Mus musculus: one gene and its partners. The protein of the gene in region 6 interacts with the protein of the main gene of each other region in a biochemical or structural test. Links are inferred from orthologs where the notes say so. Each region holds a gene or a part of one and is shown on either strand. Other genes may lie near its edges.

The links.
Region 1: the proteins of Atm (region 6) and Mdc1 form a complex in vitro, tested with the Homo sapiens proteins (2 studies listed by BioGRID, with this or other methods). The link is inferred for Mus musculus from reciprocal best matches to the Homo sapiens genes ATM and MDC1.
Region 2: of the proteins of Atm (region 6) and Rpa2, one has a biochemical effect on the other in vitro, tested with the Homo sapiens proteins (3 studies listed by BioGRID). The link is inferred for Mus musculus from reciprocal best matches to the Homo sapiens genes ATM and RPA2.
Region 3: of the proteins of Atm (region 6) and Atr, one has a biochemical effect on the other in vitro, tested with the Homo sapiens proteins (2 studies listed by BioGRID, with this or other methods). The link is inferred for Mus musculus from reciprocal best matches to the Homo sapiens genes ATM and ATR.
Region 4: of the proteins of Atm (region 6) and Chek1, one has a biochemical effect on the other in vitro, tested with the Homo sapiens proteins (2 studies listed by BioGRID, with this or other methods). The link is inferred for Mus musculus from reciprocal best matches to the Homo sapiens genes ATM and CHEK1.
Region 5: of the proteins of Atm (region 6) and Creb1, one has a biochemical effect on the other in vitro, tested with the Homo sapiens proteins (2 studies listed by BioGRID). The link is inferred for Mus musculus from reciprocal best matches to the Homo sapiens genes ATM and CREB1.
Region 7: the proteins of Atm (region 6) and Smc1a form a complex in vitro, tested with the Homo sapiens proteins (2 studies listed by BioGRID and IntAct, with this or other methods). The link is inferred for Mus musculus from reciprocal best matches to the Homo sapiens genes ATM and SMC1A.

The regions. Positions count from the first base shown.
Region 1 is NC_000083.6:35,847,883-35,852,053, forward strand, and holds part of Mdc1 (mediator of DNA damage checkpoint protein 1), read left to right. Parts: coding exon 1-783; intron 784-906; coding exon 907-975; intron 976-1,124; coding exon 1,125-1,217; intron 1,218-2,412; coding exon 2,413-3,123; exon of another isoform or gene 3,124-3,230; coding exon 3,231-3,274; intron 3,275-4,171. UniProt on the Homo sapiens protein: Histone reader protein required for checkpoint-mediated cell cycle arrest in response to DNA damage within both the S phase and G2/M phases of the cell cycle.
Region 2 is NC_000070.6:132,766,543-132,771,434, reverse strand, and holds the start of Rpa2 (replication protein A 32 kDa subunit), read right to left. Parts: upstream 3,076-4,892; 5' UTR 2,979-3,075; coding exon 2,969-2,978; intron 2,756-2,968; coding exon 2,649-2,755; intron 890-2,648; coding exon 788-889; intron 1-787. UniProt on the Homo sapiens protein: As part of the heterotrimeric replication protein A complex (RPA/RP-A), binds and stabilizes single-stranded DNA intermediates that form during DNA replication or upon DNA stress.
Region 3 is NC_000075.6:95,860,167-95,864,337, reverse strand, and holds part of Atr (serine/threonine-protein kinase ATR), read right to left. Parts: intron 2,970-4,171; coding exon 2,878-2,969; intron 1,556-2,877; coding exon 1,406-1,555; intron 1-1,405. UniProt on the Homo sapiens protein: Serine/threonine protein kinase which activates checkpoint signaling upon genotoxic stresses such as ionizing radiation (IR), ultraviolet light (UV), or DNA replication stalling, thereby acting as a DNA damage sensor.
Region 4 is NC_000075.6:36,723,443-36,728,332, forward strand, and holds the start of Chek1 (serine/threonine-protein kinase Chk1), read right to left. Parts: upstream 3,217-4,890; 5' UTR 3,121-3,216; intron 2,437-3,120; 5' UTR 2,420-2,436; coding exon 2,355-2,419; intron 579-2,354; coding exon 355-578; intron 141-354; exon of another isoform or gene 1-140. UniProt on the Homo sapiens protein: Serine/threonine-protein kinase which is required for checkpoint-mediated cell cycle arrest and activation of DNA repair in response to the presence of DNA damage or unreplicated DNA.
Region 5 is NC_000067.6:64,574,155-64,578,325, reverse strand, and holds part of Creb1 (cyclic AMP-responsive element-binding protein 1), read right to left. Parts: coding exon 4,071-4,171; intron 3,303-4,070; exon of another isoform or gene 3,107-3,302; coding exon of another isoform or gene 3,067-3,106; intron 2,148-3,066; coding exon 1,997-2,147; intron 1-1,996.
Region 6 is NC_000075.6:53,526,234-53,530,404, forward strand, and holds part of Atm (serine-protein kinase ATM), read right to left. Parts: intron 1,105-4,171; coding exon 940-1,104; intron 1-939.
Region 7 is NC_000086.7:152,033,077-152,037,247, forward strand, and holds part of Smc1a (structural maintenance of chromosomes protein 1A), read left to right. Parts: intron 1-622; coding exon 623-808; intron 809-903; coding exon 904-1,083; intron 1,084-3,025; coding exon 3,026-3,172; intron 3,173-3,264; coding exon 3,265-3,402; intron 3,403-4,171. UniProt on the Homo sapiens protein: Involved in chromosome cohesion during cell cycle and in DNA repair. Central component of cohesin complex. The cohesin complex is required for the cohesion of sister chromatids after DNA replication.

The DNA of each region.
Region 1 (4,171 bases), on a different chromosome or scaffold from region 6:
GTGATACAGATGAGGAGGAGGAGGAGGAGGAGGAGGAGGTCTCAGCAGCACTCACTTTGGCCCATCTGAAAGAGAGAGGAATTGGTTTGTGGAGTAGAGACCCAGGCGCAGAAGAGGTCAAGTCCCAACCACAGGTCCTTGTAGAACAAAGCCAGAGTGCCTCTGGGAGAGACAGTGACACGGATGTGGAGGAGGAATCCTCAGGGCGAAAGAGAGAGATTATCCCAGACAGTCCCATGGATGTAGATGAGGCTCTTACTGTCACACAGCCAGAGAGCCAGCCTCCCCGTAGGCCCAATGATGCAGATGAGTACATGGATATGAGCTCCCCTGGCAGCCATCTAGTGGTAAATCAGGCCTCCTTTGCTGTGGTAGGCAAGACCAGAGCACAAGTGGAGGAGGAAGTCCCAGGGCCATCTGTTATCCTGGGGGAGAAGCACCAGGTGCCTCTAGAGGGAGCCCAGCCTCCTGAGGAAGCCTGGGAAACAGCTGTTCAGGAAGGCTCATCCTCACCAGAGGCAGCAGCCTCTGTAAGGCCTAGCCAGCAGCCAGTAGCAGAAGATGCTGGGACAGAGTGTGCTACAGCTGTTTCTGAGCAGGAAAGTACTCTTGAGGTGAGGTCCCAAAGCGGGTCACCTGCAGCACCAGTGGAGCAAGTGGTGATACATACAGATACTTCAGGGGATCCCACCCTGCCACAGAGAGAGGGAGCCCAAACCCCCACAGGAAGGGAGAGAGAAGCACATGTGGGCAGGACCAAGAGTGCCAAAGAGTGCTGTGATGGTAAGTGTTGCCCTCTGCTCTGCCTTTGGCCCTTAAAATAAATTGGGTATAAGGATTAGGAGAGAACTGTAGAGGTCTTTAGGATGAGAGTTGATTTTTCATCTGTCTCACATCTCTTCCCAGCAGAACCTGAAGATCTGTGCCTTCCAGCTACCCAGTGCTTTGTGGAAGGGGAGAGCCAGCACCCAGAAGGTGAGGACATTGTGTGGTGTGGATGGGAGCACCAGGAAGAGCTGGGTGATGATTACACTGATGGGCCTTGAAAGGCGATGTGGCCAAGTAGGGTATGAGACCCTGGCGTTCTGGGACCAGCTGTGTTCTACCCACCTTTTCTTCGGCAGCTGTCCAGAGTTTGGAAAATGAGCCTACCCAACTCTTCCCATGTACTCTTCCACAAGAGCCAGGACCTTCCCATCTCAGCCTTCAGACTCCAGGTACAAGGAAGTCTCTCTGAATTCCCAACTTTGCCTGCTTTCTTGTTTTCTTCCTCTGCATCCTTTCATATACTGTCTGTTAGATTTACCTATGTTACATGTATGAGTGTTTTGCTTGCATGTATATATATATATATATATGTTCACCATGTGCATGCCTGGTGCCCACAGTGGTCAGAAGAGGTCTTATTCCCTGGAACTGGAGTTGTAAGCTGCCATGTGGGTTCTCAGGACTGCTAGAGCCACCAGTGCTCTCTCTTCAGCCCCTCATATTCTTGTTTGTTTGTTGACAAAGAGTTCCTGTAGCTGAGGATGACCTTGAACTGCTGGTTCTCCAAGGGCTGGGATTACAGGTGTGTGCCACCCAGCTAGGGATGGACGAGGACTTCATATGCTTGCTCGATGAGCTCTCTAACCACTGAGCTGTATCCGCAGACGCACTTTTCATATTCTTTTGTTATTCAAGAAAAGAACCTATACCAGACATGGTGACACACACACTTGTGATCCCAGAACTTGGGAAGCAGAGGCAGGAGCCCAGGGCCATCCTGGACTACATAGAAAGTTTGAGGCCTTGACTGAATGAGACCTTGTCTCAAACAACAACAACAAATCCAACAAAATGGGCTTGGCTCAGTGGTTAAGAGTGGCAATCATCTTAGAGGACCAGAGTCCAGCACCCATGTCAGGCAGCTGGCAACCATCTGTAACAGCACTTCTGGAGATTTCATCACTCTCTGGGTACCCCACACACACATGGTATACACATATACATGTGAATAAAAAATTTTAGAATAAGTCTTAAAAAATAAAATAACAAGTAAAAATTAGATTGCCTAGATTACTCTGATTCTAGTTCAGGAGATTTGGGGTTAACCCAAAAACTCAAAAATTTTTACACTCTACATTCTCTCTGGAGATTTAATCAGGGCTTTATGCATGCCAAATGAGTATTCTCCTAAAATGAGTGTTTTCCTAAACCACATCCCCAGTCCTTGTTTTTCAAATGAAGTTCCTGAGGGAAGCTGTGCGTGAGGTTATAATCTCCTGAATAGCATTCAGTGTTAGAACCACCACCCTACTCCCAGCTTCCCTTTTGTAACCCATGTAGCTGTTTGCTGCGAGCCTGCCTTCGTTCTCAACCTTAGTGCCTTTTTTACCTGTGTACTTATCTCCTTTCTCTCATCCTGTTTAGGTGCAGATACCTTGGATGTGCCTTGGGAAGTCTTGGCTACACAGCCGTTCTGTCTAAGAGAACAGTCAGAGACTTCTGAGCTTCATGAAGCTCATGGATCTCAACCATCTCTGCCTAGGGAACCACCAGGACACCAACATCTGGTTCATACCAGCCCAGTTCACACAGAGCTGTTGAGAATTGAAGGCAGAGAGATACAGACTGTGGAGAAAGCCATGGGTATACCAAAGGAAATGGCAGACAGGATGACCCCTGAGAGAGAGCCATTGGAGAGGGAAATCAGGGGAAGAACAGAAAACAGTGAGAGAGATGTGATAGGAGAAGAACTAATTCAGGGGACAAAGGACAGAGAGCCAAAGAAGGTGTTAGCTAGAGACAGTCAGAGAAAAGAGGCTGACAAGGATCTTGAAGGGAATAGGGAGAGTTTGGAGGTAGAAATAGAGATGTCCAAAGACTCACAGAAGAGAGAGAGAAAAGTAGAGAAACCAGAACCAAAGAGAGAATGGGAGCCAGCTGATTTAGAAGTGACTCCAGATAGAGGGGTGACAGAGGAAGGGAGCCATGATCAGAAAGGGCAAATTGCTAGTCTAACACTAAAGCCTGGAGTTGGGGTGAAGGACCTTGAGGGACTTGCATCAGCCCCAATAATCACAGGGAGCCAGGCAGATGGAGGAAAGGGAGACCCTTTGAGCCCTGGGAGGCAGCAGAGAGGTAAGTGTGAGGCAGGGGAGCCAAGGGGTATGTAGTCCTCATGGCAGTTAGTATCTGAGCTGCGGGCTGCACAACACTCAGCCAGTCTTGTTTTATTCTTTGACTAGGCCGCTTGAGTTGCCAGACGACACCTGCTGGAAAGGCTTCCAGGGTGAGCTGCTTTCTTATCATTCCTCTACAGCCCTTTGCCTAGCCTTCCTTTAATCTTTCTTTGTCTATACTTCCCATTTTCTCACTGCATGTACATTTGTGCATGTTTGTGAGGGTTTGTGTTTAGGGGCAGTGCATGATGAAGGCAAGTGATAGTCTTGTGTGTTGTTCTTCAGGGACTACCCAGCTTTTTTTTTTTTTTTTTTTTTTTTTAAAGATTTATTTATTTATTATATGTAAGTACACTGTAGCTGTCTTCAGACACTCCAGAAGAGAGAGTCAGATCTCGTTAGGGATGGTTGTGAGCCACCATGTGGTTGCTGGGATTTGAACTCCGGACCTTCGGAAGAGCAGTCGGGTGCTCTTACCCACTGAGCCATCTCACCAGCCCACTACCCAGCTTTTTAGAAGGGTGGTGGTGGTCAGGATCCTAAACTGGCTTAGAATATGCTGAAGTAGACTAAGATTCTTGCCAGCAAGCTTCAGGAATTCTCCTATCTCTACCTCTCTAGCATTGGGATTCAAAACATAGCCACTATACCTGTCCTTTTTACATGGGTTCTGGAGATTAAATTCAGGTCTTGGTGTTTGCTTTGCCTACTGACCTGTCTCCCTGATCCCATGTTCCCAGTTTCCTTTTTGTTTTGTTTTGTTTTGTTTTTCAAGACAGGGTTTCTCTGAATAGCCCTGGGTGTCCTGGAACTCACTTTGTGGACCAGAATGGCCTCAAACTCAGAAATCCGTTTGCCTCTGCCTCCCGAATGCTGGGATTAAAGGAGTGTGCCACCATGCCCAGCTCCCAGTTTTCTTGTTCGTCATTTATTAATTGGTTTCCATTCCTGTGTCCTGCCACCCATAGTTCCCTATATTGACCCAGAGATCTCTTTGTGTTTCATCC
Region 2 (4,892 bases), on a different chromosome or scaffold from region 6:
CTTGAACTCAGAGGTCCACTTGCCTCTGCCTCGCATTGGTGGGGTTAAAGGTGTCAGCCACCACTGCCCAGCTTTAAAAAGTACTTTCCACCGGGCGGTGGTGGCGCACACCTTTGATCCCAGCACTTGGGAGGCAGAGGCAGGCGGATTTCTGAGTTCAAGGCCAGCCTGGTCTACAGAGTGAGTTCCAGGACAGCCAGGGCTATACAGAGAAACCCTGTCTCGAAAAATAAATAAATAAACAAACAAACAAACAAAAAATACTTTCCACAAAAATATTGTTATTTTACCATTGTGTGTATGTGTGCCATGGCCCAGGGGTCAGAGGCTATTTTAGGGAGCTGGTTCTTTTTCTAATGTAGAATATGGAGGCTGAACTCAGGTAATCAGACTTGTGCTAAAGGCCCAAGCACTTTCACCCACAGAGCACGTCACTTGCTACATACTTTTCGATTAAGCAAGTCTTACTCCTTTTTCTTTGCATATGCGTGAAGGGTATGCACAAATGAGCAGACAGATGAGCAATGCCCTTGCTGGAGGACATTGGCTGTCCAGGTCTAGCACTATTGCTTTTATTCCCTTGAGACAGAGTCTCTCACTGAACCTGGAGCCAGCAAGGCCCTAGGACCCTCCCGTCTCTGAGCTTCGTAGTTACAGGACCCAGGGGAAGCGAGCCTGGCCTTGTACATGCATACGGATCTGATACTGGGCCTCACGCTTGCGCAGACATCTTCCCACCCCTCATATTTCCTATCTCTAAACGGTTCTTCCACAAAATCTTACAGACCTGTGAAATCTCGACATCTCCAATTCTGAACACTTCATCAGTCAGAGTAGCAGAAAGCAGCTGGGATATGGTACAGGGCACAATATGCTGGGCTCGGACTCTCTGAAAAGAAAAAGTACGCACAGTCAACCCAAGAGAGTAACAATCACTCATTTAATATTTCCATGTGCCAAGCACTTGAATATACCACACTCCTGGAATTGCAAAACCAAGTTCTCCTTACTTTAAAAAGAGACAGAAAACAGGGCCAGAAAGTTAACATTTGTTTCATCTTCCTCTCCCTCCTAAGTGCTAGGATTCAGAGTGTGTGCTACTATACACGGCGAATGCCACACTTTTGAATTCAAGCCCACAGGGATCTGATGCTAGACCTCCAGGTGAATATATGTTTGTATCCTATTGTGGGTTCACAAAGAAAAGGTCAGACTAGAGTCAGGACAACATAGGATAGCCTGTCTTTAGAACGCATCCCAGGTGGGGGCTGGTGAGATGGCTCAGTGGGTAAGAGCACCCGACTGCTCTTCCGAAGGTCCGGAGTTCAAATCCCAGCAACCACATGGTGGCTCACAACCATCTGTAACAAGATCTGATGCCCTCTTCTGGAGTGTCTGAAGACAGCTGCAGTGAACTTACATATAATAAATAAATAAATCTTAAAAAAAAAAAAAAAAAAAAAAAAAAAAGAACGCATCCCAGGGCTAGGCAGTGGTGGCAAATGGTTTTAATCTCAGCACCCAGGAGGCAGAGGCAGGTGGACTTCTTGAGTTCAAGGCCAGCCTGGTCTATAGAGTGAGTTCCAGGACAGCCAAGGATACACACACACACACACACACACACACACACACACACACAGACACCCAAAACAAAACAACAACAAGAAAACAACTGTCTCAGAGAGGTAGGGGTAGAAAGAGCACATCCCAGACATAGCAAGAGCAGTGTTCAGGACACCACGGAGACAACAGGGCCTTGTGAAAAGGCTTGAGAAATGACAAGCAGAAAAAGGACTACGAAGATGCTCTAGGTTTCTTGATAAAATGGAAGAAGTTAGAAGTATAGCTTCTTTTAGGAGATATTCTGGCAACCAGATGGCAGTCTCTGCAGAAAACCTGGTGAGTTTCGTCAAGCTGCTCATCTTTGGGCATCTTAACAGGAGAGTCAGATGGAGTGGGCAGAGGAGCATCTAGCAAAGACACTTGCCTCTCAAGCCACCTACGAGCAATGTAGTTTGTTTGTTTTTTAAGAAAGGATCTTTTTGGGCTGGAGAGATGGCTCAGCGGTTAAGAGCACTGACTGCTCTTCCAGAGGTCCTGAGTTCAATTCCCAGCAACCATACGGTGGCTCACAACCATCTGTAGTGGTATCTGATGCCCTCTTCTGGTGTGTCTGAAGACAACTACAGTGTACAGGCAGGTGGATCTCTGAGTTCCAGGCCAGCCAGAGCTACAAACACCTCCAAAACACTTGGTCATACAATGAATATGTACGAGGCAGAAAAAGCCCAGCAGATTAAGGCTTAGCGTGTCCTTCCTGTCAGTTACCAACAGGAAACAACCCCAAACCTGTTCTGAACACAGTGGACTCTTGTTCTTCAGGGATTTTTGTGCCCTGGGGACAGCGATATTAAACTCTACTAAAGCATACTTTCGAGTGGTAGGGCCAGGAAAATGGAGGCCGGGCGAACCACTGCAGGCTTGCCAAACAATAAAATAATAAAAACCCTGTTCCCCACTTGACCATACAAAAGACAAGGTAGGTAACGGACAGCTTCTGACACCTTGGGGTGTGCCACCCTCCCGCACGAAAACACGTTCCCTCCTGGCCAGGACACAAATGAGAACGGAGCCGTCAGTCTACGTACCGATTTCTTCTCCGCCTGCGACGGTGTGGGCGACCCGAAGCCACCGGGGGACTGCGTGTAGCCGCCTGCTCCGCCATAGGTGGAGCTGCTGAAGCTTTCGAATCCGCCTGCGGGGAACGACCGTCGTCAGAGTCTGCGCTGCGCTCCCCATCTCTATACCTGGCGACCGCTGTCCCCACCGCCCCAGCCGCGACAATCCCCCTGCCACCCCGCGAACGCCGCCGAGCCCGCCTCGGGCCTCTCGCTCCGTCCCGGCCTTCCTGCGCCAGACTCGCCCACTCCCAACACCCTCGCGTGACTCTCCCCACGCCCGCCATTACTATTCCACATCCTGGTCGCAGTTCTCCGGAGAGAGCGGCCCAAGACGCTCGGACACGAAAACTAAGAACACTTGGGAACTCTGTGCCGCTCTGGCGTGGCAGCCTTCTGGCTACTTTGCACTGGCGCCACAAACTCCTTCCCGCGAAGGGACAGCCAATCAGCGCCCTGGACACATTTACCTTCAGCCAATCAGAACTCATGAGTCCCCTCCTTTTTTTTTCGGTATCAAGGCCAAGCTTAGGAAAAACACCCGGCCCCAAGAAGGAATGGAAGCATGCGCGGCCATCTTTACTGAGGGCAAATTTCCGATAGGACAGTATTCAAGAAAACAACCAATCAAAACGATACTTCCGGGGCCATCCTCAAGCATTCTTCACACACACCCCATCTCCGTCGCATGCAACCCTACATCACTTCCGCCGCTCGCTAGCCCCCTTTTCCCGCCAAACTGCTAGTTTTCTGCTCTTCCAGAACTCCCGAGTTCAATTCCCAGCAACCACATGGTGGATCACAACCATCTATAATGGGATCTGCTGTCCTCTTCTGGTGTGTCTGAAGATAGTGATATTGTATTCATAAATAAATACCTGCGTGATGGTGGAAGGAGAGGCTCAACTGTTAATCCCACTGAAGATGAGTAGAAATGATTAAACAATTTTTGGTCAAATTAAGCAAGCTTAATTTTGTCAGAGATGGCTATCTCGCTAAACTGGGGTTTTGAGAAAACAGCATCGCCGGGCAGTGGTGGCACAGACCTTTAATCCCAGCATTTAGGAGGCAGAGGCAGGAGGATTTCTGAGTTCGAGGCCAGCCTGGTCTACAGAGTGAGTTCCAGGACAGCCAAGGCTACACAGAGAAACCCTGTCTCGAAAAAACAAAACAAATACAAAATGAGAAAACAGCATCGAACACAAGAGGTGAGGTTTATATAACCCCCAAAACTGCAAGAATATGGACATTTTCAAGGGTTATGTAGGCACTTGGTCGAACATTTCAGCATTATTTGGCAGAACGTCTATCAGACTGAAATCAGGGTATAGGGTGTGGAACCTGTCGAAATTCAGAAAGTTGGTCAAGACCTGGTCAAATTAAGTTTTATAGAAAAGAGGAATGGACTTATTTTGGTAGTATGATAAGATGGCTTCAGAACTTAAGGTGGAGTCAGGCTGCTCCATCACAACTCCTACAAGTTGTCCTCTACACACACACACACAAGCACACACTCCAGCACACATGTTCATACGCACACACAGGCTTGTATCCAGGGCATAGATAACATGTTCATGTTTTCAAAGAAAGAAACCCTACCTGGGGGAGGGGTTGGCACACGCCTTTAACCCCAACACTTGGGAGGTGGAGGCAGGTGGATCTCTGTGAATTTGAGGCCAGCTTGGTCTACAGTGTGAGTTCTAGGACAGTCAAGGCTGCACAGGGAAACCCTGTCTTGAAGAAAAAAAAAAGAAAACAAACAAAAGAAACCTCATGGCCATACATGGCCACAGTTAAAAAGATCCAAAGATGTCCTGCTGTCTTGCCCCCAGTTTTGTCTCCCTCTCAGTCTCCCGTGATTTCAACCAGTCATTATATGAGTCATACACCTTCGTCTAAAAGCTGATCGAGCACTAGAGCATGTGTTTAGTTTTCTAGAAAGTATGTGGGTACGTGCACATGAGTTTAGGTGCCTCCAAAGCCAGAGGAGGTCTTGGGGGGTCCCTAAATGTGTTATAGGCAGCTGTCCCTTGGCCGTGTCCGTGTCCATTCTGTAATGCTAACTCAGGTGATCAGCAAGAGCAACATGCCCTCTTAACCCCTGAGCCATCCCCGCAGTCCTGTGTGCTCAGTTGTTTAATGGTCATTGGGTAGAGCACATGAGGGGCAAGCCTGCCGACCTGAGCTCTAAACCCTGAACACACAAAAGGCCAA
Region 3 (4,171 bases), about 42 Mb from region 6:
AAGACAGAGTCTCTCTACATAGCTCTGGCTATCCTGGAATTCATTATGTAGACTGGGCTTGCTTTGAACTCACAGTGTTCTGCCTGACTCTGCCTCCCAAGTGCCGGGATTAAAGGTGTGTGCCACCATGCCCAGCTCAGTTTGTTTGAAATGTTACTAGCTTTAAAGTTAGTTCATAACCCACTGTGAGTTGTTGTCCATACTTTAGAAAATATAACAGAAACTGAAAATGTGATTATAGTATAATTTAAGAACTTATGACAGAAGAAATACAGAACATCAATAATAAGAACATATAATTCAGCAGCAAAAAAAAGAAAACAAGTCCTAGGTGGCCAGGATGAGTCAGAAAACTTTTTTTTAAAGAATTATTTATTTTATGTATATGGGTACATTATAGCTGTCGTCAGACACACCAGAAGAGAGCATTGAATCCCATTACAGATGGTTGTGAGCCACCACGTGGTTGCTAGGAATTGAATTCAGGACCTCTGGAAGAGCAGTTAGTGCTCTTAACCACTAAGGCATCTCTCCATCCCCCAGAAAACACTTTTTGAAGGCTATATTATCAAAGCAGATACTATTAACAAATTTTAAAATATTTCATTATATAGGAAAAAGTTTGTTCTGCATCCTTTTATGAGAGAATCAGAAAGTGAGGAGCAGGCAGATTAATGGGGTAGTAACAATACAGTAAAAGTCTAGAAAAATGCTTTAACATACAGAAAGCAAATTTTTCTTAGAAGGCAATGTAGTTAAGTTTTGTTTTGTTTGGTTTTGGTTTTTTTTTTTTTTTTTTAAGATTTATTTATTATTATATGTAAGTACACTATAGCTGTCTTCAGACACACCAGAAGAGGGAGTCAGATCTTGTTAGGGATGTGGTTTTGGTTTTTAAAGAAAGTGTTTCCTCTGTGTAGCCCTGGCTGACTTGGAACTTGCTCTGTAGAACAGGTGGCCTCCAACTCAAAGATCCTCCTGCCTCTACTACTGAGCACTGGGATTAAATGCATGCATGACTACACCTGGTATAAGTATTTTTGAGTAGAATGTCTAAAAAAAAAAAAAAAAACCTTTGTAGTAATTTGAGATGATGTTCTAGTAAAACTGTCAAAATGAAAAAAAAAAAAGTAGCTGAAGCTGGGCATGCTGGCATATGTCTAATCCCAGCACTCAGGAGGCAGGCCAATCTCTGAGTTCCAGGCTAGCCTAGTCTACAAATGCATTCTATGCCAGCCAAAGGTACATACGAGACCCTGCCTCAAAAACAAAACTGCTACCACTTTTCCCCAAAAGCAAATATGACTTGTGGGAGCATGTAATTATATAAATGTGATATTCAGAAAAGCAGCAAAGGAGATCTAATAAAACTGGTTAAGGATTAACATAAAATAACAGCACTTACCAATACAACTGTCTTTGGCCTCATTTTGGCCCTGGCTTCCATTCACATTTACAAACATAAGCGGAGAAGACTTCATGATGTGCTGGATAAAATCAAGTAACATCACAGAGGTCGGCTGAGCGTCAGTTTTCTTTACAAGTTCTAGAGCAACTAAGAGATAAAAGATTCTTTTTAAAAACTCATGACAAAATATAGAGCTTTTGTTAAGAAACTAAATTTTGGTAATCAAAACTTTGTCCAGTGGAGTACTCATGCTACACTGATACATGAAGAAGTCCTATTATCTAGTATGTGTATGTGTATGGTATATGTCTATGTACATGTTCGTGTGTGTGTGTGTGTGTGTGTGTGTGTGATGAATGTGACAGTCAGAGGTCAATGTTGGGTGTCTGCTTCAATCATTCTCTACCTTATTTTTTGAGACAAGAGATCTCACTGAACCTACACTTCACCAACTTAGCTAGACTGGCTGGACCAGGTTTTTTTTTTTTTCTTTGTATAGCCCTGGCTGTCCTAGAACTCACTTTGTAGACCAGGCTGGCCTCGAACTCAGAAATCTGCCTGCCTCTGCCTCCCAAGTGCTGGGATTAAAGGCGTGGGCCACCATGCCCTGCTGACTGGCTGGACCAGGAAGCTCCACAGATCTACTGTGAGAATTGCAGCAATCACAGGTGTGCATTGCTGCAGCTGCTTTTTAAGATTGTGGTGGGAATTTAAAGGCAGCAAGATTAATGTCTGAGTCATCTTTCCAGCCTACCACTTAATTTTCAATGTCTAATAACCATATACATTCATCTATAATATAGCCCATTCTGCAAACATTTGTTATATAGGCCTGTAAGATGACAGGCACCATGCTTAAGATAAAACAAAACAAAAACAATAATCTGGTGAAGGAGTCAAAGAATTAAAAATAGTAGTTTGACTTGGTAATTCAGGATAAAATGAAACAATTCTGGAAAGATCCCATGAAGGAGTTCCTATGGCTGAGGGAAAAGGCAAGTGGTGAGAACAGAGGGAGACCCAGAGGGAACCATATCTTACAAGTGTTCATAGCCCTTTGCTCTCATTTTAGCAACCTATGACTTTGTAGACTGAAAAGAACAAAGTTTAAGTGGTTATAATAAATCACAAAATGTGTTGGTACCAAATTTCACTTTTTTTTTTTTTTTTTTTTGCAAGTTGTTGATAAAGCCCATATGATTGGACCCAGTCAAATGTTTTATAACTAATGCATTAAAGAATTCTAGGAAGCCAGTAGAAAAATCATGGAATAATAGAAACACACCCTTGATTTTAAAGCCTAAATTACATTATGTTTTAAGTAATAAGCAATACTGAGTAACAATTTGCTGGAAATTACTATCTATAACAAAAACTAACTCTGACTAAAACTGCCTAGAGGAAAAACAGGTAGTACAATGTTACACGGAAAACCATTGAAGTTCATGGAAGAAATAATTCCCTCTTACCAACATTTACATCTGTAAGTATTCTGTCAATGAACTGGCAGAGAATCTGTCTTGGTTTCTGTACAACAGTGTTATATTCTTCTGGAGTAGCACTGAAATACAAAGTAAAGCTTGTTAAAAGAGGCACTATGGGAGCAAGCAAGATGGCTTAGCAGGTAAAGGCAGGCTGCCAAGCCTGGCCTTAGTTCCATCCCCGGATGGATATAGTGGGAGGGGAGAAGTAACTCCCATGAGTCATCCTCCACATGGACTGTGATGTGTGTGACCCTCCCTCCCAATAAATAAATTAATGTAAAAATGTTTTATTAGAGGTATGGTGGCACATACCTATAATTGGAAGCTGAGGCAGAAGGCCAGTGATTCTAGGCCAGCATAAGCTATTTAGAGAGATTCTGTCTCTACAAACTAATCCAGCAAAGAGCATTTCATCTTTAAAAGGACCTACTTTTCAATTTGTACAAAAGCTCTCTAAACTTGAACCTAACAAATATGATTGGTTTAAATGTTAACATAGACAGTATTATACTTCTTAAAAGTGAAAATCTAAAGATATTACTAATTTGGGGCGGGGAAAGTCTTAAATGCCAGTGCAGACAGCTAACCTTCATATTTTAGAAATGTGCAGCTCAAAATGGCAGCCATTAGCCACATATGACTATTTAATACTTGAAAAGAAGGTTATTCCAAATTAAGATGTATATAAGATACATATTGGATTACTCATACTTGGACAAAAGAATTAATGTTGCATTAATCGTCTTATATGAGTTACATATGAGTGTGATAATATTTGGATATAATGAGCTAACACAAACCCTATAAAACAAGGTAAGATACTAAGCCTAATTTGGATCTGAGGATGCTCTGGAAGTTAAATCACTGGAGATCACACAGCTCAGATTAATGGAAGCCTGGGATATAAATGCAATTGTGATTAATAAGACCAGAGAGATACCTAGGCTAGCTAGAAGAGCCGTAAGGAGACACAGAAAAACTGAGGTTTATTCTAAATGCCACAAAGGTTGGAATTTCACAAAAGGAACACTGGCTAGGATCAGATCAATTTTAGAAAACATCTTTTGATTTTATTTTGATAAAATATAAATTACATAATGTTTACTATTTCATTATTTTAAAGTGTATATACTTCTATAGAATTAAGTTCAGCACATTACTACCACTCATGTAAAGAACTTTTTAACCTTCCCAAGCAGCAACTCTACACCTAATAAGCAATAATTTACCATTTCTCCTCTTTTATTCCCTGGCAATATTCATTCCACTATTTTATCTT
Region 4 (4,890 bases), about 17 Mb from region 6:
CCTCCAATTTTCCTGTTACATAACCAATTCTGAAATAAAATTGATCTAGCTAACATTTAAAAATGCAGCTAAGAGAGTTGGGTGGTGGTGGTGCACACTTTAATCCCAGCACTCAGGAAGCAAAGGCAGGTGGATTTCTGAGTTCAAGGTCAGCCTGGTCTACAGAGTGAGTACCAGGACAGCCAGGGTTACAGAGAGGAACCTTTTCTCTAAAAACCAAAGAAACAGCTGAGAACATGGTTGAGTAGTAGACCAGTTGAAGGGCCTGTGGAAAGATGGTGGGTTTAATGTCCAGCAGCACACACAACGTATGAAGGTGTTCAGTAAAATATTTATCTTAAATCTTTTCCATACCAATTCTATCAAAAAGTTCTCCTCCACTACAGTACTCCAGAAACAGATACTGGATATGGCCTTCCCTCCTGTGGCCATAGAATTTCACTACATTCTCGTGGCTTAACATTTTATTGATGCAGATCTCTTTCTTAATATTTTCTGGACAGTCTATGGCCCGCTTCATGTCTACAATTTTCACTGCAACAGCTTCTTCAGTTATTCTATTCACAGCAAGTTGAACTCTTAAAAAGAAAGAGAGAAAAAGTTACAACATTTTCACCTCAGAATTCCCTTTCTCCTAACTCTTCAAAAGATTACTGATACACACCTGTAATTCCAGCATTCTAGAGACAAAAGGGTCCAAGTTCAAACACAGCCTAGACTACAAAGAAACTTTCAAAGAAAAAAAACAAAAAAAGCAAAACCCTAGCAGCGGGTGGAGGTGTCTCTGAGAAGCAGAGGCAAGCAGAGCTCTTGGAGTTTGGTGCCAATGAGATATTTATTCTCTCTACAAACAAAACTGAGGGGTGGGGATACCTGAGGGGGGGCCTGGAGAGAAGGCTCAGCATGTAAGAGCACTTGCTTCAGACCTCAGCCGTTTCCAGCACCCACATGGTAGCTCACAATCATTTGTAATTTCCAGTTCTGGGGGAATCCCACACTTCTGGCCCTCTGTGGGCAAACACTCATCCATATTTTAAAAATGCATAAATCTTAAGAAAAAAAGCTTCAAAAAGTTAGATGTAACACACCCCAAACTATTCTTCCTTTCTTCATCAAGGAAAATGAAATGGCCTCTGCTATGTTCTCAGACGCATTGAGACAAATGTGAAGCATTGCCATTAATGCTCCAAGAAAGTCTTGGAAACTTGGAAACCTTGTGCTTGCAAGTTATCTAATAACTGACCATGCTTTGAAAGACAATAGCAAGTCTACAATACATCACATATACACATGATCTAGTAATACAACAGCATTACTTTACACTTATTAATCTCATGCATATATGCCTGAGCCAACTACTGAACACATCTTTAAGGTAAGAACCATTAATTCTATCATCAGATGAAGAAACAAAGGCACATAAAGCTTGCTCAAGAACACAAATACAGCCAGGCGTGGTGGCACATGCCTTTAATCCCAGCACTCGGGAGACAGAGGCAGGCGGATTTCTGAGTTCGAGGCCAGCCTGGTCTACAAAGTGAGCTCCAGGACAGCCAGGGCTATACAGAGAAACCCTGTCTCAAAAAACCAAAAAAAAAAAAAAAAGAACACAAATACAACCAGGATCAGCTGAGTGTGGAGATCTGAAATTAGGCAGGATGCCGCCAGGGTCTTTTCATTATCTCATTTAAAATTCTAAGACACATGATTTGTTAGGAAAACAATTCTTTTATAAAAGAAAATTTTATAAAAGTAAAATTAAAAAAAAAAAAGAAAGAAAAGAAATTGGACCGTCAAGCACAGGCTTGTCATACCTACCTGGGAGGCTACAGTGTACAAGTTCAAGGCCAACCTAGGCAATTTAACAAGATTTTGATCTGAACAAAAACAAATGTAAGAAGAAATTTGGTGTTTTACAGGCCTAGAAATGTAGCTCATGGCAGAGCATAAGCCCAGCATGAGTGATGCACTAGGTTCAATGTCTACCATCACAAAAGAGGAGGAACAGGTGTGGATGTGCTTCACTCACTCAGAGCCTTGATGTACAAATGCGAATATCCATGCTCTTTGCCACTTGAAATAAAGGACTTTTTTTAAAGTGTGTACTCAGACAACAGGTGGAAAACTAAAGCAAACAAACAGGTAATATTTAAATTAGGAAGACCATGGTAATGGCCAGGCAGGTTAAGCCTCTTGCTGTCAGGCCTAATGATCCCTCCAAACCTTCAACAGAACCAGCTCCTGCAAGTTGTCTTCTGACCTCCACAGGTGCACGCACCATAGCACGACAGACAGACAGACAGACAGACAGACACACACTGCAATAAAAAATTAAAATGAGGACTCAAACTTACTCTCCATAGGCACCTTCTCCCAAAGTTTGCACCAAATCCCAGTCTTCCACAAAAGGCACTGCCATGACTCCAAGCACAGCGACTGTAAAATGCAGGATCCCAGAAAATACTGGGGATGAGTGTAAACTCTCATCACCTGTAATGCCACTGAGCCATGTCTCCTGCTATGATTCCGCACGACTTTCTTTTCATCTTACATCTGAACCATATTTACCCACGTCATAATACTGAACTTGAACATTTTGTCCTGTTTATCACAAATCCTGTTTCCACGTTTGTCCTCCGTCCGCCTTTATGCAAAACTGAGCACTTGCTTGGCTCCAGGGTTGCAAGACAAGAGCTTTCGGGTGAATGATCCGGAAAGGGAGTTGCGGGCAGGTCAGGGTGCGGGGGTGGGGAGCAGCTGGGTGTAACTACGGTAATTACTGCCAGAGCAGCCCCTCCTCCCACCCGCTCACTTCCAATTCCCACCCCAACGGCACGTGTCCCCAGCACCGGGAGGGAACAGGGCGGGGCCAAGCCGCGGAGAGAAGCGGGAGGCAGGGACCCCTAGAGCCGGGAAAGCATGCGAACCCCGGAGCCTTACAATCGCTCTGGTCCCTTTATGCTGGAGAGCCACGGGCCACCCGCTCCAGCCCGGGCTCCGGGCGGCCCTCCCACCTCTCTGCTAGTCTGGACCACTCCCTCCCCGCGCCCGTCCACACTAAACAAGCCCTCTGGGTCCTTTGCTGGAGTTCTTTCCCACTGTTCAGGACGCCCTTCTCACCAAGCAGTCCTTTGCCAGCTGCCACAGGAATCCAAATGCACAGCTTTTCCCGCCAAAACCTGCTTGCGTCATGCTGTCGCAAAAGCGCACACCTCTGCCGTAAAGCGGGCCGGCGCGCGTTGTCCTATCCCAGGCTCTGCAGAGGAGCGACTTCAGTAGACCGACCGCGCAAGGACCCTTCCTTCTAATACTGGCTGAAATTCTGATGTGGCCGTAGTTAAGACACAAGCTGACCAGATTTGGTATTGACGACTGCTTTGGTGAGAACTGATCTCTGAGTCCGAATGAAATGGAAATGGCACGGGGCGTGTGCCACGCCTTACGTTGCTCCACAGAGGCACCGAAGCCTCCATCCAGACTGCGCCACCAGTTGGGCCAAGAACCCAGGTTCCCTGCCACTCAGAGCCTGCAAAGGCTGCACCGTTAAGTACGTAAACCGACCTGCTCTTGACCTCGGAGCCCCAGGGAGGAAGGCTCAAACTAAGCGACACAGAGTGCTCTGTAAACTCAATTGTGCCCCCCTTAGTATTCGAATTGAGAAGCTAGCAACTGCTGCTGGAATTCTGAAAAAAAAAAAAAAAAAAAACGAAGGAAAGCAAGTGTGGTGGTGCATGCTTGTAGACCTAGAACTTGGGAAGCGTAAGCAAGAAGATCTTGAGTTCAAGGCAATCCGAGTTATACAGGGTTAGTCTTACCAAAAAAAAAAAAAAAAAAACGAAGGGGAAAAAAAACCACATCGCCGCGGATGTGTGAGGGGAAAGTGCAGTGAGAGTCACCAATATTGCCTGAACAGGAGGCTCCAGAACCAGTTAAATCTTTTTTTTTTTTTTGGGGGGGGGGGGACACACGACTATTTGCCTGTACTAGCTTTCTTAAACAAGCACGGTGGCCCACCACACTATAGAGATAAAGCAGGAGATACCCAACCAAGATGCTCGCTTTCAAGAAAAAACAAACAGCAAAGTAGACTTAATGGTGACTCATCTATAACCTCAGTCTAGGGAGGTTGAGCCAGGGAAAGTGATTCAGGTTGGTCAGCCTGAGCCAAGGGTGTGTGAGTGTGTGTGATCTTATCTAAAAAAAAAAAAGGAGGTGGGTTGGGGAGCACAATCAATATTCCTTAACTAGGCTAGACTTATGGCATAATGGTAGAATGCCTGCCAAGCATACAAAAGTCTCATAATAGAGAAATGTCAATTCTAAGAAAAGGGACTTGGATACAAAAAATAAGGAAACAATGAAACCATGTGCTGGCTAGTCAAGTGCATTGCCTCTGAGCTACATCTCCAACTCCATGAAATCTAACCTGGAAATGTTTAAACTTAAACCATGTTATCAGTTTAGGGTTCGTGTAATTAAAAACAAGCTATTAGATTATTTCCATTTCTTTGTGATTTCCTGTGTATATTCTGAAATCTACAAGAGGTTGATTTAGTCTTTTTTTTTTTTTTTTTTTTTTGGTTTTTTGAGACAGGGTTTCTCTGTGTAGCCCTGGCTGTCCTGGAACTCACTCTGTAGACCGGCTGGCCTCGAACTCAGAAATTCACCTGCCTCTGCCTCCCAAGTGCTCTTAAATGGAATCTAGGTTCCTCTAGTCTTAAATGGAATCAATGTCTTATTTCCTGGAAAAGACACAGTATCAGAGTTCTGACTTGGAGAAGAGTGTGTATATGTGTGTGTGTGTGTGTGTGTGTGTGTGTGTGTGTTTATGTGTTTGTGTGTACACCTATACCAACAACAGGGAGGTGAATGTAGGAAGACCAGTTCAGG
Region 5 (4,171 bases), on a different chromosome or scaffold from region 6:
CGGCCAGCAGATCACAACATGGGTTCTAGCCTGGAAAGGCATTTTGGAAACCTGGAAGAGAAGAGGACTAGGTGGCGAGATAAAGAAATGCAGCTAAGACAGGCATTCTGATCAAAGTTCTATTTTACTGTTCTACACGCAGTTATGAAGCAGGGGAAGGGGGCCCGATTCCCGCCAATTAGTCTTGGGGTCAAATAGCAGGGTGACCACGTGCACGGCTCCAAACAGCAAAGCCGCAGGTCCAGCAGTGGGCGTGGCAGAACGATTGAGTGGGAAGCTCCACCCCTGAGCAAGCAGGTTTCAGGCTGGGGGAGGGGAGACTACAGTTTGGTGCACAATAAAGGTCACAGGGCTTCTTTTCAAGATTCCCTTACTATCTCAGAATGGGTTTCTCCTTTTTCATAGCTAGATATAATTTACTAAGACTGTGACAGTTAAGACTATTTCAGGAACAATGATGCTGACCTACCAAAAATAAAATTGTTGGAAGAGAAGGAGCAGTAGAGATGCCATGTGCTGTCTTACCTGACCCTGAGAGCCAAGCTTTGGGTGCAAGGAGAGATCTTATTTTACTCAAAGGTAGAAACCCAAGTTTAGGAAATTAATGTATTCTTCCAGAGTCATAGCTAAAGGGTGAATGCAGGAATTGAAGTTAGATCTGCTAAGTTCAATTTCTGTCTCATTTACTTTATCATAGTTCTTACACTCTTGGGGTAAAAAGAAGAATTTAAATAGTTTACATCTCTATACACCTTGATTCTCTTTTAGTTTTCACCTCCCTCCCCCATTATAGCCCCTTGATGTTTACTCACATGTTTTATGTGTGTGCAGGCTATCTTCCCTAATGTTGCTTTTTCGCTTACTCTTGAGTCATGGTTTCTTCAACCCAGAGCTTACAGACAAGCTTACCCTGAAAACCCCACCTGTGCCATCAGAGGAATTACAGGGCCCTACCAAGAATTTTATATGGGTTCTGGGGATCTGAACTCCAGTGTTCTTGCTTGGATGGTGAACACATTAACCAACGATGGCCTCCTCAGACCATTTGTTTTGTTTTGTTTTGATCATTTCCACATTAATAACTTCCTTTTTTTTAAGATGGCAAAAACATTTGAAAGCAAATAAATTTCTAAGAAAGGCTTTACCTGTGTTTTATAGCTTCTCTTCTGTACCACTTTAACTTCTTAAGACTAACATTAACTGTGCATTAAGGCTTTGTCGGGAATACCATACTTTTTAGAATTTCTCTGTTTTAAAAGTGTTTGGATGTTAAGTTATTACTGAGTAAAGAAAGCCCCTGCCCCTAAGGCCAGGCCCAAGGTTGTGATTCCAGCACTCACTCCCAGAGGCGGGAGGATAAGAGCTCCAGGCAACTTTGGCCCACACAGCAAGACTCTGACCCCAAACAAAGAACAAGGCAGGTGGCTGACCAACCCCTCTCACTCTAGTTCCAAGAGATCTAATGCATTCTTCTGCCCTTTGTGGTATGAATGTGGTACATATACATACATGTAGGCATTGACACATATGCATAAAACATGCATAAATAAATCTGTAAGTGTATAAAAATGCAAAAGAAAGTATTCATTAAAACAAAAATGGCTACTGTATACTTGTTATAAATAAATTTAATGCAAATAAACTAGAGTCTAATGTTAGTATACATATGTGACACTTTGATGAATATTACTTACAAATTTTTTTAATTAACATATCCTATTAGCTAGAATAAAGTACAAATTCATTAAAGCTATGTATTTCTCTTGTGGAAAAACTATGAAGAAAAATTACTTTTTTGATTGAAGACTGACCTAAAGTTCCATTAGCCATCTTATAAATGCAACTTAATAAACAAAGAAGCTTTAGCAAGATCCACTAATTCTACCAGAAAAAGAAAATCAATGCACAGAACCTACTGTTAGCAGATGTAAAGGCACACACAGAAGAGTTTATAGACATACTTGACCCATAGCATTTAAGTGTTTGGAATCTGTACCTGTTCTTCATTAGACGGACCTCTCTCTTCCGTGCTGCTTCTTCAGCAGGCTGTGTAGGAAGTGCTGGGGAGGACGCCATAACAACTCCAGGGGCAATGGTGCTCGTGGGTGCTGTGCGGATCTGGTATGTTTGTACATCGCCTGAGGCAGCTGCAGAGAAGAGCGAACAAGGTATAAGACACAGAAACACTACAATTTAATTCAACTGTGTCTCAATCAATCTAAACATACTTAGATTAAAAGGGAAACAGGGAATGGGACTCTATCTAAGAAGAAGACTCCAATTGTCTGTCCTATTTATTAGTACAGGTACGGGGCAGGGTGCCTCAGCGTCCCTGCGGGTCTTATTCATGTTGTGCTGGGAGGGAGATGCAGTCTGTGGTTTGCATGCTTGTCAGCTTTAAGTCTAAAGGAGCTGAGCAGAGATGTCCTCCCACACAGGCCTCAGTATCTTCCCTTGCTTTACATAAATTCACATTTAAAACAAAACCCAAAAAACTCAAGTAGACTCTTGCCACGACATAAAAACGACCATGATTTTTCATAAAATAGCAAAATAGAAGAAAAAAAATAAGCATATAGAAACTGTTATAAATTTCTAATTCAAACAAAACTCCAAGTATGAAAAACTGGACATTTGCTGCCAATCATGGTATATGTAAACATATCTTAATATAAGTGACTAAAACTAAGTAAGTAAAAGCTGAATTGTTTTCATTTCAGTTTTCTAAGACAGGGACTTACTATGTAGCCCTGGCTGTCTAGAACTCATTATGTAGACCAGGCTGGCTTAGAATTCAAGAGATCCACCTGCCTCTGCCTCTGCCTCCCAAGTGCTGGAATTAAAGGCGTGTAGTTTGGGTTTTCCTCACCATACAATCTCCATATGTGAAAAAAAAAATCACTATTTGTCCATTATTTGCTTCTAGAAACAGTGTCATGATATGCTTTCATAAGTACCCTAATACTATGTGAGAGATTTTGAATGTCTTTATAAAATCATTCATATCAGTTAAAAACACCGATTGTATCGTTTGAGGGACAAAGATTTATATACTAAACATGTTACCATATTCAAACTGACGTTGAGAATTCAAATTCACTGACATCCTGCTTTACAATTTTTTGAGTACCTGCATGTAAAGTGAAAAGGTGTTTTACTCCCACTAATAAGCAAAATATTTTTTAAATATCATTGGTCTAATAACAAGATATATAGTATAAATTTATTAGACATTGTTAAACAAAAGATGTTCTACTTGGTGTTGTGGTATGATCCAAAAGTAATTATCCATGGTGAAGGGATATAACTCTCATTAACACAGGCAACATTAGTTATTATTAATAAAATATTTTTAGAAGCAAATATTATTTTTTTAATCTATAAATTTTTAATCTGGTAATATTGAACTATGAACTGCTCAGTGAATTAATGCTGAATAGTTAACACTCTCCAGACTCTTGAAATTTTGGGAAACAAAACAAAACAAAACAAAACAAAATCCTCTCGTCCACCGAGGCTAAAGGACAACTTGTTCTCCAATGAGCAAGGATCTGCATAATGATGCTTGTTCTTATCCAAAATCCAAATTGATGACTTCAGAAAAGCTCTATATTCCTTTTAAATTAAAAATAATAAAAACAAGACAAAACAGATAAAACAGCAGAATCCACTAGAACTCTTTAATAGTGACATAGCACACAGAGGAGGGAAAGAAAGGGGCCCAGGGGAGCTAGTGTTACTTGAGGCCATTCAGCCTGGCTATAACTTCCTCAGTTCTCTTCTAACATATTTTGGTTCTTCCAATCCTGACTACTGAAGGCATTAAAGACAGGAAAAACCCCTTTTAAGCTAAAAGATAGTTGTTTTTATGCCATGACATTTTCATCTGAGTGGAAAGTTGCATGAGAGATATTTATGTATTAAATACATGCATATCTAAACTGTTAATATCTAAATCTATACTGAAGAAAACTATTTTAGTAGTGCTTTGTAATATACTTACTTTTCATGAGTATACACATTAATTTTTAAAAGAATGTACCATATGTATGAATTCTTAATTCTATTACCTTGAACAACAACTTGGTTGCTGGGCACTAGAATCTGCTGTCCATCAGTGGTCTGTGCATACTGTAGAATGGTAGTACCCGGCTGAGTGGCAGCTGCATTG
Region 6 (4,171 bases):
TTTGCACGTTATCCTTCCTCTGACATTTAAAGTATCTACCACAACCCTTTTAACTCAGAACCCTTGCTTTCAACCTCTGTGACATCTCTCTTTTGGTTTCCTCCTTTATTTATGGCTCAGTTAAGGTATCGCTGTTCTGTGTACACACTGTAAACAAGCCTGGAGAGAGTGAATGGCATGGTAATTTTTAGCTGACTATTTTTCTCAGTCACTGGACGGCTGAATATTTGAAAACAGAGCAGTAATCTTTGAAATCTGTAATTCCAGTTCTAGTGGTAAACACCTACTATAAACAATGTGACTTAATACTTTTTTAAAAAAAAAGATGTATTTATCTATTTAATGTATGTGAGTACACTGTAGCTGTACAGATGGTTGTGAGCCTTCATGTAGTTGTTGGGAATTAAATTTTGGATCTTTGCTCGCTTCAGTCAACCCTGCTCGCTCAGTCCCTGCTCGCTTTCGCCCAAAGATTTATTTATTATTATAAATAAGTACACTGTAGCTGTCTTCAGACACACCAGAAGAGGGCATCAGATTTCATTACGAGTGGTTGTAAGCCACCATATGGTTGCTGGGATTTGAACTCAGGACCTTTGGAAGAGCAGTAAGTGCTCTTACCCACTGAGCCATCTCACCAGCTTGTCTTAATGCTTTTCAAAGTACATAATAAATGAAAATTAAGAACTGGGCATGGTAGTCCATATTTATAATTCCAGCCTTAACAGACCAATGCAGAGGATTACAAGTTGAAGGCCAGAATGGGATATATAGCAAGATGTTACTTGAAAAGGAAGAAAATGAAGGCTCTGAAACTACAATGATATAATTTCATCAATATAATATTAAACTCTGAGTCGTCTGTGGGATATAGACTGCTTTTATTGTTGAAATTTCATCTTATAAGGGGGGGAAAAAATCACAGGCTTCAAAACATACCTAGCCACTGTTGCTGAGATACTTCACACCAGTATTTTCTCACAGAAAGAATGTCTTTGAGTAGTATGTTGCTACAGTCAGCTCCATACGTTAGACCATTAGATGAGTCTTTCACTGTATCCATGACATAATTCAAGAGGTCTTGACATTTTAGCCTGGGTGCTCCTATTTAAAAATAAAACAAAATAGTAAAAATGTATAGATCATAAAAATAAAGACTCCTTCAGAGTGCCAACTTTTTTTGTTGTTTTGTTTTTCGAGACAGGGTTTCTCTGTGTAGCCCTGGCTGTCCTGGAACTCACTTTGTAGACCAGGCTGGCCTCGAACTCAGAAATCCACCTGCCTCTGCCTCCAAAGTGCTGGGATTAAAGGCGTGCACCACCACGCCCAGCTAAGTGCCAACTTCTTTAAGTGATTCCATTCAGCAAGTTTCTCTTAACTCACTCTCATAGTTTCTCTCAACAGGGTAGCCCCTAAGTAAAATTCAACTGGTTGGCCATTTTGTTAATAAAGTTTAACTGGAACACAATCACATTTCTGCATTTAATACTGTAAATGACAAGAAATGAGTATCTGCAATGGATAATATATGACCCAGAAAGTTAAAGAAAAAGAAAACATTTGCTAGATAGCACCATTAAAGATTAAATTTACCAACCTCTAAAAATACAGCAAAAATAGATTAATTTTTATACTGAACTCACAATTTGTGGCACTGGAATTAAAAGGATTCTAAGTCACTGAGCAGCTTTATGAATAAATTTATTAAAATAATCTTGAAATATTCTATTAAGAATAGCCTAGCTACTCTAAAAAGCAAGATTATTTCCATTACATCTAAACAGAAGACAAATAGCATACATATAGAAAAGGCTGAAGTTTTAACAGCACAATAGTTTAGATTCTGAAAATTCATTGCTAATAAATGTTCTTCTAAAATGGGTATGTGCATGGGTGTTTTGCTTCCATGTATGTCTGTGCACTGCATGCATGCAGTGCCTCAGAAATCAGAAGAAGGCTCCAGATCTTTAAGGACTGAATTTATACATGGTTGAGAGCTCCCATGTGGGTGCTAAGAATCAAATCCAAGTCTTCCGGAAAGGCAGCCAGTGTAATCTCCCCCACCCCTAAATGTATATTTTTAAAGATCACAAAATTACATTTAAAAACAAAATTATGCCAGGAACAGTATTACACACCAATAATCCAAATAGTCCTTGGTTAGGGCAAGATTCTGGTTAAGGTATCATTCTTCACTATACAGTAAGTAAGTTTAAGACCATCTTGGTGGGGCTGGAGAGATGGCCCAGTGGTTAAGAGCACTGACTGCTCTTCCAGAGGTCCTGAGTCAAATCCCAGCAACCACATGGTGGCTCACAACCATCCGTAATGAGATCTGACACCCTCTTCTGGAGTGTCTGAAGACAGCTATAGTGTACACATAAATATATAAATCTTAAAAAATAAAAGTGACCATCTTGGGCCACAAGGAAACCCTATCTAAAGAAAAGGGAGGGCAGGGTTTAAGTTTACCTTTAGGGTGTGTCAGCCTGTAACTCCAGGTAAAGGCTATAGCCAAGGCTACAGAAATTAAAATGTTTATTTTGTAGTTTCCAATTTGTCTTAGTCAGGGTTTCTATTCCTGCACAAACATCATGACCAAAAAGCAAGTTGGGGAGAAAAGGGTTTTTTCAGCTTACACTTCCACACTGCTGTTCATCACCAAAGGAGGTCAGGACTGGAACTCAAGCAGATCAGGAAGCAGGAGCTGATGCAGAGGCCATGGAGGGATATTCCTTACTGGCTTGCTTTTTATAAAATCATACTGACATCGAAACTAAAAGACCATGGTTTCTTCAGTACTGACTTCATTTTGAAATTGAACTACAGGTAGGATGAAACTCAATATGCATAAGTAAAATGTGTTAGATTAGCATTTTCTTAATGATGAGACTGGCTACACTCAGGAGGGTCAGGCTATGGTAAGTACGCAATGCTATCACAGTATAAATAGCAGCTTTCACTCATGGCTTATGATTCCGGGCGTGTGACCCATGACAATGCCCACGTCTGCATGATCCTTTTCTATAGTCCTTGGCTATCTCTCCCACAGTTTCTGAAATACTTTTTTATATACAGTATTTGTTGTACTGTCAGATTTTGGAAAGGAATAATTTACCACAAATGCCCAAGACCAACAATAGACAATAAATAAAGTTAACTTCATAAATATTAAGATGAAATCTTAATTTTCTGTCTCCTTTTGCCCAGAACATTCTCTTTCTCTGCCAAACACAATTGTTTTAAAATTTATGTTTTTATTTCCTAATTCTCTCAGTCGAGATTAAAACTCAGTAGCACAGTACTGCCCAGCATGCATAAACCATGGGTTTTTGTACCTACCATTGCAAAAGAACAAACAAAAATAACATTTAAAAAAAAAAAACAAGTAAATAGACTAAATTTGACTACAAGAGGCTAGTGTTATCTCAAAATAATAAATGTAAAGAATAAATGCTGGGGTGATAGCTTAGTTGGTAAAATGCTTACCTTACAAGGATGAGGACCTACATTTGACCTGCCAGACCCTACATAAAAAAGTTGAGCATTGTGGCATGCACTTGTAATCCTAGCACAAAAAAGACAGGACTCAGGGGCTTGTTGACCAGAAAACCTGGACTATTTAGCAACCTCCAAAACACAAGCAGACCTCCCATTTACCAAAATACCCGTGTGCACCCACCACATATATGCGTGAGCACGAAAATGAATGAATGAATGAGTAAGTACAGAGCCAGCATGGGGGCACATATTTGCAATCCAGGAACTGAAGAAGATATGAGGCACCAGGATCACATATCTGAGGCCAACCTGGGCTACACTGAAAGACCCTATTTCAAAAAACAAAACTGAAACAAATATGCTGTAGGCTGTACCAACTAGATAATACTACAAGACTGATGCCACTCTTTAAGAAATAACAAACTCAAGAATATTAAAGAGAAAGTGAAATTAAAACTATGTCAATGAGCTGAAGGAATTAGGTCCATTTAATTTAGGGAAAGATCACTCAGGAATGCTATGGTTATTTTCAAATACATCAAATGATATCATGTGGAAATAAATACCAGGTTTTCTGTGTATAATTTATGCAGCTAGAGGGGTGGAGATATGGCTTACTGGTTAAGAGCATTTGATGCTCTTGCAGAGGATCTGGGTTTGGTTCCCAGCA
Region 7 (4,171 bases), on a different chromosome or scaffold from region 6:
GAAGGCACAGGCAGGAATATCATGAGTTTGAAGTCAACCTGGGGTAACCAGGGAGATCTAGGTTAGTCCCAGCTAAATAATGAGACCATGTTTCAAAAACAGAAAAATTAGTGTATCGTATTCAAGAATGTTTTCTGGGGGAGGCTGTTAAGTCTTGTGGCTTTTTAGTTAATCTTGTCTGATTCCAAAAGCAATAGTCTGTCTTAGGAAACATATAGCTTCACTTTTTAAGCTTCTGATATAAGTGAACATAGAGGCAATGTGATTTCTTACTCGGTTCTGAGGTGCTAATTGGGTCTTCCATCTTTTAACATGTTTATTCAGTCCTTAATCTTCCTCTTAGCCAAACTTCTATCTTTGGAAGGAGCATTAGAATTGACTGCTGTACTAGTCTAAATTGCTTGTAGCCATACAAGTCTAACAAGTCCCTCCCCTCGGGCTGTTCCCCTTCCTATCTTAGTGGTATCATATAGTACAAAAGTAGAGGACTGACTGCACCAACAAGCAGCAATGAGTGTATTCATGGTAGCTTATACAGATTTTTATCTTGCCCTTCTTTGTAAGCTAGTAATTGGGATTCCTAAGCCTTGTGCTTCAGTTTCCCTTCTTCCTTTATATTCAGTATGGCCGCCTCATTGACCTCTGCCAGCCTACACAAAAGAAGTATCAGATTGCTGTGACCAAGGTTTTAGGGAAGAACATGGATGCTATTATTGTAGACTCAGAGAAGACAGGTCGGGACTGTATTCAGTATATCAAGGAGCAACGTGGAGAGCCTGAGACCTTCTTGCCTCTTGACTACCTGGAGGTAAGGCTTGTGAAGGGGTTTGGGGTCAAGGCAGTGTTATGGGCCCCTCACCTTGGCTTTATGTATTCTGTTGCTTCATAAGATTCTTCACACAGGTGAAACCTACTGATGAGAAACTCCGGGAGCTGAAGGGGGCCAAGCTAGTGATTGATGTAATTCGTTATGAACCACCTCACATTAAAAAAGCTCTGCAGTATGCTTGTGGCAATGCCCTTGTTTGTGATAATGTGGAGGATGCTCGACGCATTGCCTTTGGAGGTCACCAACGCCACAAGGTATGCACCCTCCCCCCCTTTCTCAGGTTGGAGTTGGACAGGCTCAGTGTCTTAGTCAGGGTTTCTATTCCTGCACAAACATCATGACCAAGAAGCAAGTTGGGGAGGAAAGGGTTTATTCGGCTTACACTTCCATACTGCTGTTCATCACCAAGGAAGTCAGGACTGGAACTCAAGCAGGTCAGGAAGCAGGAGCTGATGCAGAGCCATGGAGGGTGCTCTTTACTGGTTTGCTTCACCTGCTCTCTTATAGAACCCAAGACTACCAGCCCAGGGATGGTCCCACCCACAAGGGGCCTTTCCCCCTTGATCGCTAATTGAGAAAATGCCTTACAGTTGGATCTCATGGAGACATTTCCTCAACTGAAGCTCCTTTCTCTGTGATAACTCCAGCTGTGTCAAGTTGACACAAAACTAGCCAGTACAATTGACCCCTTGTCAACTTGACACACAAACACATCACTAGTAAGCCTCAACCCTTACATTCTTATTCATCCCCATTATAAATAACTTTAAAAGTCCCACAGTCTTTACATATTCTTAAATTTTCAATCTCTTTAAAATCCAAAGTTTTTTTACAATTAAAAGTGTCTTAACTGTGCGCTCCACTAAAACTGTTTCTTCCTTCAAGAGGGAAACTATCAGGGCACAGTCACAATCAAAAGCAAAAATCAATCTCTAACTGTCCAATGTCTGGGATCCAACTCACGATCTTCTGGGCTCCTCCAAGGGCTTGGGTCACTTCTCCAGCCATGCCCTTTGTAGCACACGCGTCATCCTCTAGGCTCCAGATGACTGTACTCCACTGATGCTGCTGCTCTTGGTGGTCATCTCATGGTACTGGCATCTCCAAAACACTGCATGACCCCTTCAGTCCTGGGCCTTCAATTGCAACTGAGGCTGCACCTTCACCAATGGCCTTCCATGGCCTCTCACAGTGCCGAGCCTCAGCTGTTCTGCGTGACCCCTTCATGCCTTCAAAACCAGTACCACCTGGGTGACCCTTACATATTACCAAGTCCCGCTGCAGCAGGAGTACAACCTTGGCCATCTCTGGAACACAGCCTCTTTGTGCTTTCAGAAAACACTTCCCAGAAGATGTCACCTCAATGATGCTGGTCTCTTCTTAATCACCGCTAATTTCTTAGCTCCAGCTAACCAGCATCAATAGTCCCAGTAATGCAAAGTTTTTGCTTTAGTAGTTCCGGTATCTTGTTAATCACAGCTGATTCTTTAGCCCCAGCTAACCAGAACTACAGAATCTTCACAATCAAAACAGCAATGGCCCTGAAAAGAGTCTTTAATTTTCCCTCTGAAATTTCACAAACCAGACCTCCATCTTCTGCAGTGTTCTCAACATTATCTTCCAAGCTCCTACACAACATCCGACAGGGCTCTTAACAATGAATGGATCTTCAAGCCCAAAGTTCCAAAGTCCTTCCACAGTCCTCCCCAAAACATGGCCAGGTTGTCACAGGAATACCCCACTCTGCTGGTACCAATTTGTCTTAGTCAGGGTTTCTATTCCTGCACAAACATCATGACCAAGAAGCAAGTTGGGGAGGAAAGGGTTTATTCGGCTTACACTTCCATACTGCTGTTCATCACCAAGGAAGTCAGGACTGGAACTCAAGCAGGTCAGAGAGCAGGAGCTGATGCAGAGGCCATGGAGGGATGCTCTTTACTGGCTTGCTTCACCTGCTCTCTTATAGAACCCAAGACTACCAGCCCAGAGATGGTCCCACCCACAAGGGGCCTTTCCCCCTTGATCACTAATTGAGAAAATGCCTTACAGTTGGATCTCATGGAGACATTTCCTCAACTGAAGCTCCTTTCTCTGTGATAACTCCAGCTGTGTCAAGTTGACACAAAACTAGCCAGTACACTCAGTATTGGAGATTCCTATGTTCACCTTCTTCTCTTCTCTCCCTGATGCGTATAGACAGTGGCGTTGGATGGCACCCTGTTCCAGAAGTCAGGAGTTATCTCTGGTGGAGCCAGTGATCTCAAGGCAAAAGCACGGCGCTGGGATGAGAAAGCAGTAGACAAACTGAAAGAAAAAAAAGAACGTTTGACAGAGGAGCTGAAAGTAAGGCACAAGTAACCCTGACCCTTAGGAGTAGGGTTCCTGAGCTCAGGTTGGCCACTTAGCACATGGTCCTTTTTTCTTTTCTTCTTTAGGAGCAGATGAAGGCAAAACGGAAAGAGGCAGAACTGCGTCAAGTGCAGTCTCAGGCCCACGGGCTTCAAATGCGGCTGAAGTACTCACAGAGTGACCTAGAACAGACTAAGACAAGGCATCTTGCCCTGAATCTCCAGGTAGGGGCTGGCCTTCAGCCTGGCCTCCCATATCATCCTAGGTTTCACTGGGACTGGGGAATTATCCACTTTTCTTCCATTTCGTTCAGGATAGCATAGCAGAGTATAGTCAGGCACTGGGACGGGGTGGAGGTGTCTAGATCTTCTGTCCCCTGTGTTTATTCCATTAAACAACTTACTTCTTATTGTCAGTTTTATCTTCTTGATCTAACAAATGGAAAGTATTGTCTATTTTGTGTGGCTATTGCAAAGATCGAATGAATTAATACCTATAAAGTTCTTAGAACAGTTGACATTAAATAAATGTTAGGGACTGTTATTAGCACATTCAGTCACTAAATATTGGGACTTCTAAAAGTCAATTGAGAGTGAACAACAGGGCCAGTGTAGTGGCCTATACCTGTGGTCCCAGGACATTGGAGAGAAGATTGGAGCATTCAAGGCCGCCCTGAGCTGTATAGTGGGATCACATCTCAAGGGAAAACACACACACACACACACACACACAATGATCTACAGGCATTTCACTGTCTGTAGGTTGTGTACTGTTACAGCTTACTCAAACTAGAATTGTTACATAATACCTAGACTTACCTTCTTGTGAAAAACAGTCCAACTTCTAAAACTTATTTGGCCCAGGGGTTATCAATAAGGGATTAATGGACCTATAACTATTACTGTACGTACACCCATCCGTATAGATTGAAGGTGGCTGAACTGGGAACGGGGGAAAATATGAGAGTTCTAACAAGAGATTTTTGGAGATGTG